2 linked regions of the Notamacropus eugenii genome follow. The main gene of each other region encodes a partner of the protein of the gene in region 2 in a complex. Links are inferred from orthologs where the notes say so. Each region holds a gene or a part of one and is shown on either strand. Other genes may lie near its edges. The genes, in order: WASHC3 and WASHC1.

Region 1 (7,162 bases), about 82 Mb from region 2:
AATTAGCCACATGGAAAAGGAGGTTCAAAAGCTCACTGAGGAAAATAGTTCTTTCAAAATTAGAATGGAACAGATGGAAGCCAATGACTTTATGAGAAACCAAGAAATCACAAAACAAAACCAAAAGAATGAAAAAATGGAAGATAATGTGAAATATCTCATTGGAAAAACAACTGACCTGGAAAAGAGATCCAGGACAGACAATTTAAAAATTATGGGCCTACCTGAAAGCCATGATCAAAAAAAGAGCCTAGACATCATCTTTCATGAAATTATCAAGGAAAACTGCCCTGAGATTCTAGAACCAAAGGACAAAATAAGTATTCAAGGAATCCACAGATCACTGCCTGAAAGAGATCCAAAAAGAGAAACTCCTAGGAACATTGTGACCAAATTCCAGAGTTCCCAGGTCAAGGAGAAAATATTGCAAGCATCTAGAAAGAAACAATTCAAGTATTGTGGAAATACAATCAGGATAACACAAGATCTAGCAGCTTCTACATTAAAGGATCGAAGGGCATGGAATAGGATATTCCAGAAGTCAAAGGAACTAGGACTAAAACCAAGAATCACCTACCCAGCAAACCTGAGTATAATACTTCAGGGGAAAATTGGTCTTTCAATGAAATAGAGGACTTTCAAGCATTCTTGATGAAAAGACCAGAGTTGAAAAGAAAATTTGACTTTCAAACACAAGAATGAAAAGAAGCATGAAAAAGTAAATAGCAAAGAGAAGTCATAAGGGACTTTACTAAAGTTGAACTGTTTACATTCCTACATGGAAAGACAATATTTGTAACTCTTGAAACTATTCAGTATCTGGGTACTGGGTGGGATTACACACACACATGCACACGCACACGCACACACACATAGAGACAGAGTGCACAGAGTGAATGGAAGAGGATGGGATCATATCTTAAAAAAATGAAATCAAGCAGTGAGAGAGAAATATATTGGGAGGAGAAAGGGAGAAACGGAATGGGGCAAATTATCTCTCATAAAAGAGGCAAGCAAAAGACTTATTAGTGGAGGGATAAAGAGGGGAGGTGAGAGAAAAACATGAAGTTTACTCTCATCACATTCCACTAAAGGAAGGAATAAAATGCACACTCATTTTGGTATGAAAACCTATCTTACAATACAGGAAAGTGGGGGATAAGGGGATAAGCAGGGTGGGGGGGATGATGGAAGGGAAGACATGGGGAGGAGGGAGCAATTTGAGGTCAACACTCATGGGGAGGGACAGGATCAAAAGAGAGAACAGAAGTAATGGGGGACAGGATAGGATGGAGGGAAATATAGTTAGTTCTTATTATGGAAGTCATTTGCAAAACTACACAGATTTGGCCTATATTGAATTGCTTGCCTTCCAAAGGGAAAGGGTGGGGAGGGAGGGAGGAAGAGAAGTTGGAACTCAAAGTTTTAGGAACAACTGTCGAGTACTGTTCTTGCCACTAGGAAATAAGAAATACAGGTAAAGGGGTATAGGATAGAGACAAGGGCAGAGAGGGATGATAAAAGAGAGGGCAGATTGGCAGACGGGCAATTAGAATGCTCGGTGTTTTGGGGTGGGGGGAGGGGACAAAAGGGGAGAAAATTTGGAACCCAAAATTTTGTGAAAATGAATGTTAAAAGTTAAATAAATAAAGAAAGAAAGAAGGAAAAAAAATAAATTAAATAAATAAAGTCATTGTTGACCTCTCAAAAGTTGCCTTTCCTTTTAGAAAAGCTGACCGTAGAACACATGATAGCAGGCCCTCCTCTGTATGTAGGGGCACTTGGTTCTACACCAGTTTGATCTTTCATGGTTCTTTCCAAAAAGAAACTCATCACAACTAGATGGTAGAGATGGTAGACGCTCTACCAAAGGATCCAGTCTCTGGTCTGAAATGGTACATCGTCTTCTCCAGACAGGGGAGAGGTTAGTGGTGCAATCATCTTACCCCTTCTTTGTGGGAGGCAAAAAATACATTTACACTGTGGTACAAGCAATCACGGGAATCACAGTTTCCAGCTGTCCTTTGGTCACTGACCAAAAGGCTTTGGGCAATTTCCCTGGTGACTGCTTTGAAATCTACCTATGCAATAGTGTCAACTTCACGTCATATAAAAACATATATACTGTGATGGGAACATATTCATCACTATAGTGTTTAGTCATCTGAATTCATCAAAAGATAAAAGAACCATCATGTGTGCTGTTCTTGTCTTTATAGTTTTAGAGAGCACATGACAACTTACAAGGCCTCACAACAATCCTATAAAACAAATGGCACCATTACTCACATTTTACAGATTAGGAAACTGAGGCTGAGAGTAATTGCCTTGCCCAGGATCACACCACAAAAATGTGGCTATGGCAGAATCAAAACTCAGGTCTCCCCTTCTCCATCCACTTTGCCATTCAGTTGCCCTAAGGAGACAGCCTAGCTCTGTGTCACTATGCCCAGCATGGCCTTGGATTGTACTTCTGAAAAACCCTTCATAATAGGCTTCACACAGTCTGTGGATCAGAGATGCTGAAGTTTGCTCATGGCCTTAATAATTCCACTTAACTTTCTTTTTTCCCTTGAACCCAGTTTTCCTACGAACAGGCTGATGTTCATTCAAGGGGGAGTTTAAGCAAGGGCCCTCTGGATACTTCTAGTACTGAAATGTTGTTTCATATCCCAGAGAAAAGGGATGTCTCTTGCCACCTTCACACCCAATCACACTAGTTACATGGGCAGCTAGATGGCACAGAATAGAGTGCTGGGCTTGGAATCAGGAAGACTCATCTCATGAGTTCAAATCCTGTCTCAGACACTGACCAGCTCTGTGACCCTGGTCAAATCACTTAACCCTGTCTGCCTCAGTTACTCACCTGTAAAATGAGGGTGAGAAGGAAATGGCAAACCTCCTAGTATCTTTGCCAAGAAAACCCCAAATAGCTCAAACAGTCAGATGTAACTAACAACAATACACATTAATTGCATTCAGAAACCCGTGCAGAGTAGTTATCACTTCTATTCTCAAAGCTACAAAGATCTAGCACCAGCAGTTTCCATTATTCAGAGCACAGATCAACTGTGCTCTGAATAATAACTAACTCCAATTAAATATCAGTCCACTATGAATCCATATATTAGGCAATCTCCCTGGGCCTCAGTTTTCTCTATGGTAATGTAATGGAATTTGAACTAGATTGCCTTTGGGGTTACTCAGCTCTGGAGCCATGACTTTATACACAGGTATGGCTGACTACATGGTCAGTGGACCTGAGATATGGAAAACTAGCTACCTAAGCTCCCTCCCACCTCTGGAGTCAAGCCCCTAAGTACAGGTGTGGTTACCTGGCCACCTGAACTCCTTCCCTACTCTGGAGGCATGATCCTAAATGCAGGTGTGGCTACCTGGTCACTTCTCAGCTCTAGAGTCAAGCCCCTAAGTACAGGTGTGGTTACCTGGCCACCTGAACTCCTTCCCTACTCTGGAGGCATGATCCTAAATGCAGGTGTGGCTACCTGGTCACTTCTCAGCTCTAGAGTCAAGCCCCTAAGTACAGGTGTGGTTACCTGGCCACCTCTTAGGTTTGGAGTTGAGTCTAAAAATGTGTGCGGTCACATGGTTACCTGGAGCCAGCTGTCAGCCCAGGACTAAGTGTGGCTACCTGGTCACTTCTCAGCTCTAGAGTCAAGCCCCTAAGTACAGGCGTCGTCACCTGGCCACCTGCGGCCACCTCTCAGCTCTGATCCTAAATTCACACGTGCTTACCTGGCCACGTGATCTCTCTTTCTAGCTCTGAGACTGACTTTAGTTGTATCCAAGTTTGACTGCAGCTCTCTTTCCGAGAACTGTTCTTGAGCATGCGCCATCAACTTTCCCAGTAGGAGAGTAGAGGAAAAACTACAATTCCCAGAAGGCTGTGCGGAAGGGACCAGGGGAGGTTGGTTTCTTCCGCAGACTCAGAGCCAATGGGAGGCTCTGGAACAAAACTACGACTCCCAAAGGGCCTTGCGAGCGGGGCTCAGTTGGTCTTCTCCGCAAGCGCAGACACCTCGGCTGTTAGCTGAGTCCACTTCCGGGGGGAAAGGGCCGTGGTACCTCAGACTGAGGCTGCCAGTCGGGACCCGCTCCCGTTGTCCGGGCTGGGAAAGCAGGGGGCTTGGGGCCCGCTCGCCGGGGCCATGGACGAGGACGGGCTGCCTCTGATGGGGTCGGGCATAGACCTGACCAAGGTTGGTAGGGGAGGAGGGTCGCTTCCGGGGCTCCCGGGGTCACGGAGACCCTTCCTCTAGCTTGACGGAGGAGGAAACTGAGGCCCAGAGAGAACACTTGGAGTCCGCGTGACCGTAGGCAAGTCACTTCTGCTCTCTGAATCGCCCTTGCCCCATCTGTAAAATGAGGGGGTCAGGCTCCGAGGGCCCGGCTCTAGATCCGTGATCCTGGGATCCTGCCTCAGTTTCCCCATCTGTAAAATGGGGGGTCAGACTCCAAGGTCCCAGCTCTAGATCCGTGATCCTGAGAATTTTTCTGTGCCTCGGTTTCCCCATCTGTAAAATGAGGGGGTCAGGCTCCGAGGGCCCGGCTCTAGATCCGTGATCCTGGGATCCTGCCTCAGTTTCCCCATCTGTAAAATGGGGGGTCAGACTCCAAGGTCCCAGCTCTAGATCCGTGATCCTGAGAATTTTTCTGTGCCTCGGTTTCCCCATCTGTAAAATGAGGGGGTCAGGCTCCGAGGGCCCGGCTCTAGATCCGTGATCCTGGGATCCTGCCTCAGTTTCCCCATCTGTAAAATGGGGGGGTCAGACTCCAAGGTCCCAGCTCTAGATCCGTGATCCTGAGAATTTTTCTGTGCCTCGGTTTCCCCATCTGTAAAATGAGGGGGTCAGGCTCCGAGGGCCCGGCTCTAGATCCACGATCCTGAGAATCTTTCTGTGCCTCGGTTTCCCCATCTGTCATCCAGAAGGAACCTTAGAGGGGGCCATCCAGTCCAATAAGAAAACTGAATCCTACAGAAAACGCAAGTGACTTGCTGACGTCCCACCCGAGCTGGCCTTCTGACCCCCGCCCTGTGCTCCTTGTGTGACCAGGAGTCACAGCTCCTAGACTGAAAGGCAGAGGAGCACAGCTGGCCCGTGCCTCCCTTCTGTGCAGTGTTTAGTGGCACGCCTGAGGTCACAGACAGAGGAGATGCGCATCCAGGCCCTTGGACTCCAGGTCTGTGTCCTGCCAGGGACCAGCGACCACTTGGGCCACATGGTGGTGGTGGAACCACACCCTTCCTTCCTCTGCCCTTCTCCTCCTTCAGAACGCAAGAAGCTGTTTTGTTTTATTCCCTGGTCAGTGGGAGGCACACAGCTGGGTTCCACCGGCCAGCCTCCCAGACATGGCCCCAGAGCTTGGGACAGGCCTGGAGGGAGGCACTGAATACGCTGGAGGATTTTCTTTACTTGTTAGTTGGTTGCTAAGTGGCGTGGTCCTTCCTGCTTAAAGCCTAGGTGTTTGAGAAGATTGTGTTCCTTGGCCATTTTTTCTGATTGTTTTTCATTAATTCTGATGTTTAATTCAACCCTCTCCTTTAACATAGGTGGAAACTGAGTCCGGAAAAGTGACTAACCCAAGCTTACGCAACCACAGAACTAAGCCTCCAGGCTCAAACAAGACCCTCCACCTCTCCCCTCCAGACATTTTCTTTGGCTGTTCCCCATTCCAGGAACGTTCTCCCTCTTTCATTCTAGGTTTTTCTACCAGGCACCATTATTTATTATTCCTCTTCATTCCTATTTATCCTGTAGGTAACTTGCTCTGCATGTTTTTGTTCCCCGCTTTAGTTTATAAATTCCTGGAGGACAGCGACTGACTTTTGCCTCCTTTTGTAACCCCATTACTTAGCATAGCCTGGCACATAATAGGTACTTAATAAATGTTTATTGATTGATTGAAACCCAGATCCTCTTAATTCCAAATTGAGGATCTTTTCTGGGCACTAAAATGTCACCAAGTGTCATTGATCCCAAGCCAACACCTTAAATTACAAATAATCAAACTCCTGAATGGGTTATAAAAAGAGGTCATCCTGTCTATCTTTGAATGGCTCCTAGAAGAGTAATTCTTTCCCAGAATTCCCCATTTCTGCAGGTTGCAGAGATAAGTATTCACTACTTAGACCTGTCTCACCTCATAATCCATTTTAATTTTCTCATTAAAAAAAAATATTTTTTTTTTCAATGCAGATTCTCCGTACTCTGAATCTTGTGTCTCTCGGTCAACTTCAGACTTTGCCATAGAGCTGCATGGTGTAGTGGAAGAAATCCTGGGTTCAGGGCTCAAAGTCTGGCCTTTTCATTTCTTTGTGCCCTTGGATGAGATGCTTCCTGGCTCTGAACTGTCTTTAATTGTTAGGGAGCATCTTGTATTGATCCAAGATCTGTCTTTACTCTTTGCGCCTAGTTTGGTTCCATAAGCTAGGCCAAGAAAGGAGAATTCTTTTTCCCTTTATTAACCCTTTAGTGCTTAAAGATAGCTCTCCTAGGATTTGTAGGAAAGGATCTAAGAAGTAATCTGTTCCAGCCTCCTCATTTTATACATAAGGAAACTGAGACCCCAAGAGGGGTAGTTCCTGGCCCAAAATGACACAGGTAGTGAGTTGCAAAGCCCAAACTGGAACCCAGGCCCTCTGACTCCAAAATGAGTGTTCCTGGCAGTGCTCTGAATCTCACACAAAGTACTGAACCGTTTTGAGCCTAGAAGCCCTTTCTCCTGCTCGAATTATTTTGTGTTTGTATGTTAATTATGTTGTGTTTTTACTTAATGCAGGTGCCAGCAATTCAACAGAAAAGGACTGTTGCATTTCTAAACCAGTTTGTGGTTCATACTGTACAATTCCTCAACCGCTTTTCTACGGTTTGTGAAGAGGTAGGTTGTTTGGTGTTTGTTCTTAGAGTGGCAGAGAAATGAGGGTGAATTTTTTTGTTGGAAAAGTGATTCTGGCATCAGGGCCAGTACTCATTTGTTCTGACCTCCAATTCACCTGAATTTGATTCTTGTTATTTGTAATTTTCTAGACATTTTACATGATTTTGTTTCTTCCTTCTGCTAGTTTAGAGTTTTGGATATTTTTAAGCAGTGGCCAGGCTTTCTGTGGTGGGTGGGAACAGTAAAATCTACCATTCTGGGG
Region 2 (7,764 bases):
GGTTACTACCTTGGACAACTTACCACCTCTTGGGGTTTCACTTCCCTCACTTGTAAACTGAGAAGGTTTGGACTAGATAGACTCTAAGGTCCTTATAGTTCTCCCCAGCTATGATCACAGTGTCTCCCCTGACAATGCAAGTTTAACTTTAGTCTGTGTATCCCCAATGCCCAGCACAAAGAAGGTGCTTAATAAATGCTTGTTGGCTGACTGACTAGAGAAGAACAAATGTCCTAATTTTTGAGACAGGGAACAGAGTCTGCAAACTGCGGGGCTGTGAACTTGACTCCAATTCAGGGAAAAATTCTAAAATTGATTACTAAAGAGATGGACGGTGAACACACTGACCTTATTTTCCTTCCTGAAAGAGTAACTAAGCTAATGGTTCAGGAAATACTGTAGACATAATCTGCCCAGATTTTAAGCAAATCATTTGATAACACATCATGCTGTTCTTATGGAAAAGATGAGCGATATGGGCTAGATGCAATTACAGTGACTCAGAACTGGTTGAATGGCAATGGTTCGATGTCAGCTTGGTAGCTTATCTCCAGTGACGTGCCCCAGGGACCTATGCTTGTCCCTGTACTGCTGGACATTTTTATCAATGACAAAGAAAGGCGCAGGTGGCATGCTTGTCAAATTTTCATATGACACAAGGCTCAGGAAGATAGCTAATATATTGAATGCCAAAGTTTGGATTCAAAAGGATCTTTCCAGGTTAGAATATTGAGCTTCATCTAATAATATGAAATTTGACAGATAAACAGAAAGCCTTACACTTAGGTTAAAACCCCTACCCACCCCAACTTCAAAAGTATAAGATAAAGGAACCGTGGTCGGACAGTAGTTTTTCTGAAAAAGATTTGTGAGTTTTAGTGGACCTCAATCTCATTATCCAATCAGTTGTCAAACATATCTCATATCCATCCCCTTAGCCTAGTTTAGGTCCTCATCACCTCTTACCTGGATACACAACAGCCTCCTATTGTCTTCCTGACTTCAAGCCATCCCCATCCTCCACACAGCTGCCAAAGTAATTCCTTAGGCACAGACAGCTATGACCTTATCATCCCCTGCTCAAGAAACTCAGCACTCCCTCTTGCCTCTGTGACTAAATACAGGCTCCTGTTTGGCGTTTAAAACCTTTTACATCCTGACTCTAGCCTACTTTCTCAGGCTTATGGCACATTACTTTTATCACACACTCTACAGTCCTGCCTAACCGGCCTACTTATTGTTCTCCATATGGACTATCTGATCTCCTATCTCTATGCCTTTACAGAGGTTTTCTCTCATGCCTGGAATATACTCTCTCCACACCTTTGTCTTATAGAGTCTTTCCCTTTCTTCAAGGGTTCCTTCAAGTACCCTTGTTCTGATACCCCCAGGTTTTTTTTAAATCAGGTGGTGAGCAAAGCTTTCCTTTGAAACCTCTCCCTCCCAGGTTCTAGCGTCCTCCCCTCCTTGGGGAAATGAGTTTCCTTGGTATGTGCCTGTGTCCACTGTGCCCTGAGCCATGCCCACCTGCTGAAGATGTCACCAGAGACCTCACGGAGGTACTGTAAGGCATCTGCCACCTGCTGGATGGCCTCTTCTCTTCGGAGATCGGGCTGGATCAAGGGCACGGAGTAGGCCTGGCCCTCTGGGTAGTGTGTCTGCGTCATGGTGCTCATGGTGCCTGCGGGAGAGGGGCAAAGTCAGACGTGCCCAGCGCCTCGGAAGTCCCTGGCCGCGTACGCACCTGTGGGAGGAGGGCAAACGCGGTGGATCTGATACCTTTCTTGCACAGCGGAGGAGTGTGGGGGTACTGTGGGTTAGGGGGTGCTGCAGAGAGGGAGAGGCTGGAGAGGAGGTGGACCGAGGAGTGAAAAGGGGGGAGGAATGGGGCTGGAGCACACAAGAGAAAGCCCGAGCGGGGAAGGCTGTGGGGAGAGAACGGAGGGGCAGGTGGAAGGAGAGGGCAGCCCCATGCTCCTGGGACTTCACCGCGCTTGACCTTTGGCTGCCGGAATCAAAGCCGAGCCCCTGGCAGACTAACCAGGTGCGGTTCAGGTGGCTCAGGTGGCCCAGGTGACCCAGGCCGGCACAGCAAAGTAGGCCGAGTGCAGGCCCGGGTGGAGGTGGAGGTGGAGGAGGGGGCGAGGAGAAGCACGAGCCAACTGCCAGGCGACGGCAGAGTCTATTTATACTTGGCTTAATGAAGTCGGCTCCCTGGGGCCACGGAAGCGCCGTCACCCCGCAGACGGTGCGGGTGTGATGGGCCAGACAAGTGCCGGGCGGAATACTAAGGCGAGAGCCCCTATAAATAGGACTAATCACGGCCCTGGCCCCGAAAGGGGCGAGGAGGACACCGGCAGCCCGGCGCCAGGCCCCGCGGCCCCTAGTCTGCGACGCAGGGGGGCTGGGATGGGAGATGGCAATCAGGGGGGCCTGCCTCGGGGTGACCATGCCGGGTGACCCCGCGGGGCCCCTACCCCACACTGCGGAAGGAACGAGGCGGGAGGGGGCCGGTAAAAGTGCAAGAGGCTGCCTGGGCTCGGGCCCCTCCAAGCCCCCACTCCTCCACCGAGCAGGGCCTGCGGACGCGGAAGCCTGGGCTCCCCACCCCCAGCCGCCCCCTAGCCTCGTTCTGCCTCCCGCCCCGCCCCCCCGGGGGCTTAAAGCTCCAGCCGCAAGAGGGTAGAAGGGGGGTGGGGGTCCCCACAGCACATTACGTCACTAGAGCCGGACCAGTAGGGGCACTCCCAACCGGCGAGTTCCAAGGTAGGGGTGGGGTTGGCCGTCTGAGGACACCGTAGTCTCAGGCCTGGCAGGATCACAGTGAACGTGCCGCGACAGGGTGGGGGGGAGGTGTTTGCGGGGTCACGTGAAAGCCGGGACGGCGCGTGGGGCGGGCTTCCGGGAGCGGGGGCGGTGGGGGATCCCTGATAGGACGGCCCCTCCCCGCCTCCTCAGGGCCCAGCTCTCGGCCCCTCCGGCCTGTCCCTGCTTTGGGGGACCGGAGGAGTCGCTGCGTACTCCGACCTCTCGCGTGCTTCTCTCCCCACGCAGAAATCTTCTTCCCGCCCCCGGGCCTCTGACCCATTCAACCGCCCCTGCCCCCCCCAGCTTGGCCCAGGCGCGCGGCCTCTCCTCTGCACCTGGACGCCCCGGGCCTGGGCCAGCCGCCCGGCGGGAGCCTGACGTCCTTCGTTTCCGCCTCCCTCCTCCTCCCTCAGCTGCCGGGTCCTAGCGCCCGGCTGTCGCTCCCCGAGTGAGCCTGGGAGCCTCCCTCCCCGCGAGCCGGACTCCTGAGCAGCCCCGGGGCCTCACGAGTCTCTGTCGCCCTCTTCCTCCTCCTTTCCCGCGTCCAATCGTCTCCCTACCCTGGTATCCGTCCTGCCTTCGATGACTGCCCCTTCCCCGGCTCCCCCTGCTCAACCCCCGGGGCCACCGGCCCGAGGCAGCCCTTCGTGGGGAGCCCCCGGAGCAAGAACGGCCAAAGAAACTAGCGACCCCCAGCCTCCTTAAGTCACAGATCTGAGGGTAGGAAGCCCCCCACCATGGTATAACGGGCTGGTCAGGCGGCCGTCCGTGGACCCGCTCTGACACGCCACCTTAAGTTAGAATAGCTGATCGGGGGAATCCCGGATCCCCGGGGTGTGTCCCGACCGGCCGCCCGAGGTCAGTCCGCGGGCCTGCGGGCACGCGCTGCCTGCTGCCCCGGCCCTTAACGCTTGTGTACCTTAGACGCTTCGGGCCGTTGGGTGACGCCGACAGACCCCTCCCCGAATGCCCCCATGTGACGCGGCCGGGGACGCCGGTGTAGACAGGCTGAGCGCCCGGGCCCGGAGCCCGGAGCGGGGCGGGGCCCTCCTGCTCCATCCGCGGGGCAACCCCGGGTTAACCGAGGAGAAGTGATTGTAAGGAAGCCACAGAGTCCTCGGTTAAGAACCCCTTGTCTGCTGTGCCGGGAACCAGCCGTGACAGAGCACAAGCCCCCGAGGCGCCGGCTGCCGGCTAGGGTCCTGGGGTCTCTAGGAAGCTGAGGCTGAAGAGGGGGCCTCCCAGGACCCCTGGGGTTGGAGATGGGAGGCCTCCGGGTGAGCCACGTGCCAGGCCTGCGAAGTTCCGGGGGTTCAAAAACGGGCAAAGAACAGCCCCAAAGTCCAGAGGGAGAAACAAATGCAAGCAACTACGCAAATGTATATTCCTGCAAGGTTACTGAAATGTATTTATGGAAGATAAATTGGAGATAGCCTAATAGGGCTGGCTCTAAGATAAAGGAGCGCTGGGAAGGGTGGGACTTGGAGATGTGACAAAACCAGGGAGCCCAGGAGCCAGAGGGGAGCGGAGAAAGTGCCAGATGTGGGGGCACTCAGAGGGAATTCATAGAGTTGGCACAGGTTGGAGGAGGGTTACAGGGTACCTGGTGGGGGCGGGGCCGTGGGGGAGCAAGGTGTAAGAAGAATGGGAAAGTAGGAAGAGACCAGGACGTAAGAGGCGTAAGGGGACATATGATTCTCATATTAATCGACATGATGTGTCATGAATATACTGATCGTTTGGGTTTCTCAGAGCTCCCATTTTCCTAGCAGATTCCGGCTTGCTAGTCAAGAGACTCATGATGCAGCTTAAAGCTGTCAGTGACGCTGATGCTTTCCACACGGTTATCCTTGTGTACTTTAAGTGAATTGAATCACAGACTGTAAACTCTGTTCCTGTCACAGAACTCTGGTTCTGAGCCCCTCCAGGTAATGAGAACCTCCAACATTTGAGATAAGAACTGTTCTCACAGGGCTGGAGAGCACCTGTATTGTCCCGCATTTGGGAATTTACCATGGAAAACTGCGCAGGACCTAGAAATGATTGTGTTGTAATCCTCCTTCCTCTCTTCCGCCCCAATTGTGGTCTACATATAAAATTTTTTCCTGTACCACATCACACCTACCAGATTGTCTAACATGACAAAACAGGAAGATGATAATTGTTGGAGAAGATGTGGGAGAGTTGGAACACTCATTCATTGTTGGTGGAGCTGTGAGCTGATCCATCCATTCTGCAGAGCAATCTGGAACTATGCCAGAAGTACCACAAAAATGTGTATATCCTTTGACCCAGCAATATCGCTTCTAGGACAGTATCCCCAGGTCCCACATGTACAAAAATATTTATAGCAGCTCTCTTTGTGGTGGCCAAAAACTGGAAATCAAGGGGATGCCCATCAACTGGGGAATGGCTGAATAAATTATGGTATATGAATGTAATGGAATACTATTGTGCTATAAGAAATGATGAACAGGAAGACTTCAGAGAGGCCTGGAAAGATTTATATGAACTGATACTGAGTGAAAAGAGCAGAACCAGGAGAACTTTATACACAACAACAACCACAGCGTGCAAGGATATTTTCTGGTAGACTTAGAACTTCATTGCAATGCAAGGACTTAAAAAATTTCCAATCAATTCTTGAGGTAAAATGTCTTCCACATCCAGAGAAAGAACTATGGAATTGCATTGGAGAATGAAGCACACCAGTTTCTTTTGTATTATGTTTTGTTTTGTTTTATGATTTCTCCCATTCATTTTAATTCTTCTATGCAACATGACTAAGGTGAAAATGTATTTAATAGGAATGTTTGTGTAGAACCTGTATAAAATTGTATGCCCTCTCAGGGAGGGAGTGAAGAAGGAGAGGGAGGGAGGGAAAAAATATAAGATATATGGAAGTGATTGTAGAACTCTGAAAACAAAATAATTTTAAAAATTAATTAAAAAATAAAAAGTTGAAAATTTTTTTTTCCTATATTCTAGCATGAAGAGCTCGCCTACCATCTACTTGACTGCTACTTGATTGCTGGCATGTGTATCTCCAATTTGCTCTGTTTCTCATTCTGCCATTCCCAGGTTAGAGACTGGTACAGTAAAATTCTGTTAACATAGTCTTTAAAAGCCAAACAGAATTTCATTTTTGATCCTGGAGGGGATTTGAAGTAAGAGGATCTAAGTTTGAATCTTGCTTCTATTACTACTTCTATGACCTTGGGCATATCACTTAATCTCTACAGGTCTCATTTTCCTTATAAATTTTATAAAACACCTCATTATAAAATAAGATGATTGAACTAGATCTTGAAGTGTTCCCCTCCCCCTCTTAGCTCCAAACCCTATGATCTCATAAAGAAAGCACTGATTTCTAAGCGCAGAGCACTTCAAGAACTTCTCTTAGCCCCAAGCCTTGTACCTGGCTCCCCTCTTCACAATACCCCCATAGCATGGGGATACACTTCATACAATATACATTCTTGGGGCTGTGCCTTTCCTAGTTGCTAAGGCCTGTGTCATCATTATCAAAACCCACTTTTCAACAAGTAGGTAAAAACCTTCTTCCTGGAATTTCACATATTTTGTTTTGCAGCTCTCTAATAAATGCCAGCAGTTGTTTTTTGGTAATAGTGATGGTATGAAATTATGGACTATTATTGTACTTGCATTGACCTGGGGTACCCTTTTCCCTACTTTTCCCCTCAGTACTCTCTTCTCCCAGAATGGCATCTAGAATACCTAAATCCCATTTGTGTGGAAGCCAGGAAAGCAGGGCAGTGGGATTAATCTCTAGAATGGATTAACTCAGGCTCTGTTTGCTCCCAAGCAACAATGCCCTGGGAAGAAGGAAAACTATAGGAATGGACAGCATCAGAATGGTAGACAAGGACAGATGAGCTGCTTAACACAGAAAAAAGACTGAAGCATAGGGTAAAGGAAAGGGGGGTGAGGGTGACATGGAGAACCTGGAGATTCTAGGGAGGGGGTCTTGTTCACAGAGGAGTAATAGTTCACATTTGGGTAGTATTTTACAGTTTATAAAGTGCTTTCTTCACAAGAACCCAGTTAGGGGTAATGCAAATGTTTTTATCTCTTTTATGGATGAAGAGGAAACATGCTCAGAGAGAATTTTTTTCTCTAATATATAATTTATTTATTTTTCAGTTCTTAGTATTCGCTTCCATAAGAATTTGAATTCAAAATTTTCTCCCCATCTCTCCCTACCCTCCACCCCAGGACAGCATGCACCCTATCCACTCCTTCCTCTAGTCTGTCTCCCTTCTACTACTCACCCTGCTCTTCCATCCCCCTTTCCCTCTATTTTCCTGTAGGGTAAAATAGATTGCTACACTCCATTGCCTGTATAGCTTAATTTCCACTTGCATGCTAAAACAATTTTTAACATTCATTCTTAAAGCTTTGAGTTCCATATTCTCTCCCTCCCTCCCCTCCCACATTGAGAAAATAAGTAATTCATTATACGTCATACATGTGTAACAATGCAAAGCACTTCCATAATAGTTATGTTGAAAAAGACTAACCACATTTCTCTCTGTCTGATCCTATCCTTCATTTATTCCATTCTCTCCCTTAACCTGTCCTCCCACAATAGTGTTTGCTTCTGATTATCTTTTTCCCCAATATGCTGTCCCTTTTATTACCTTCCCTCTCCTATCCCCTTCCCCCTTGCCTTCTTTTAAATAAAATATCTTTTCACCAAGAAAAGAACTTTCTATAATCTTATTTTTTCCCCTTTTTTGGGCATTTTCCCAGCCAATTACTTGTCTTTTGAATCCTTTGTCAAGTGGAGGGTATACTCTAGGGACCTGTAAGTTCTCAGTTCCTCCAAGGTGGCACAATCAAAGGAGAGGAATTTACTCTTCTCCTGACCTACACTGTGGTCTGGGAGCAACAAGCGCTCTTTTCTGCCCTGGACTTGCAAGTAGGATTCCCTCT

What was found.
Region 1: WASHC1 (region 2) and WASHC3 share a complex: the UniProt entries of both Homo sapiens proteins name them as parts of the WASH core complex. The link is inferred for Notamacropus eugenii from reciprocal best matches to the Homo sapiens genes WASHC1 and WASHC3.

What each region holds. Positions count from the first base shown.
Region 1 is NC_092874.1:284,999,455-285,006,616, reverse strand, and holds the start of WASHC3 (WASH complex subunit 3), read left to right. Parts: upstream 1-4,004; 5' UTR 4,005-4,169; coding exon 4,170-4,220; intron 4,221-4,799; exon of another isoform or gene 4,800-5,175; coding exon of another isoform or gene 5,176-5,202; intron 5,203-6,801; coding exon 6,802-6,900; intron 6,901-7,162. UniProt on the Homo sapiens protein: Acts as a component of the WASH core complex that functions as a nucleation-promoting factor (NPF) at the surface of endosomes, where it recruits and activates the Arp2/3 complex to induce actin polymerization, playing a key role in the fission of tubules that serve as transport intermediates during endosome sorting.
Region 2 is NC_092874.1:203,308,367-203,316,130, forward strand, and holds the start of WASHC1 (WASH complex subunit 1), read right to left. Parts: upstream 3,156-7,764; 5' UTR 3,089-3,155; coding exon 3,022-3,088; exon of another isoform or gene 2,718-3,021; intron 2,635-2,717; exon of another isoform or gene 2,000-2,634; intron 1,745-1,999; exon of another isoform or gene 1,682-1,744; coding exon 1,528-1,681; intron 1-1,527. UniProt on the Homo sapiens protein: Acts as a component of the WASH core complex that functions as a nucleation-promoting factor (NPF) at the surface of endosomes, where it recruits and activates the Arp2/3 complex to induce actin polymerization, playing a key role in the fission of tubules that serve as transport intermediates during endosome sorting.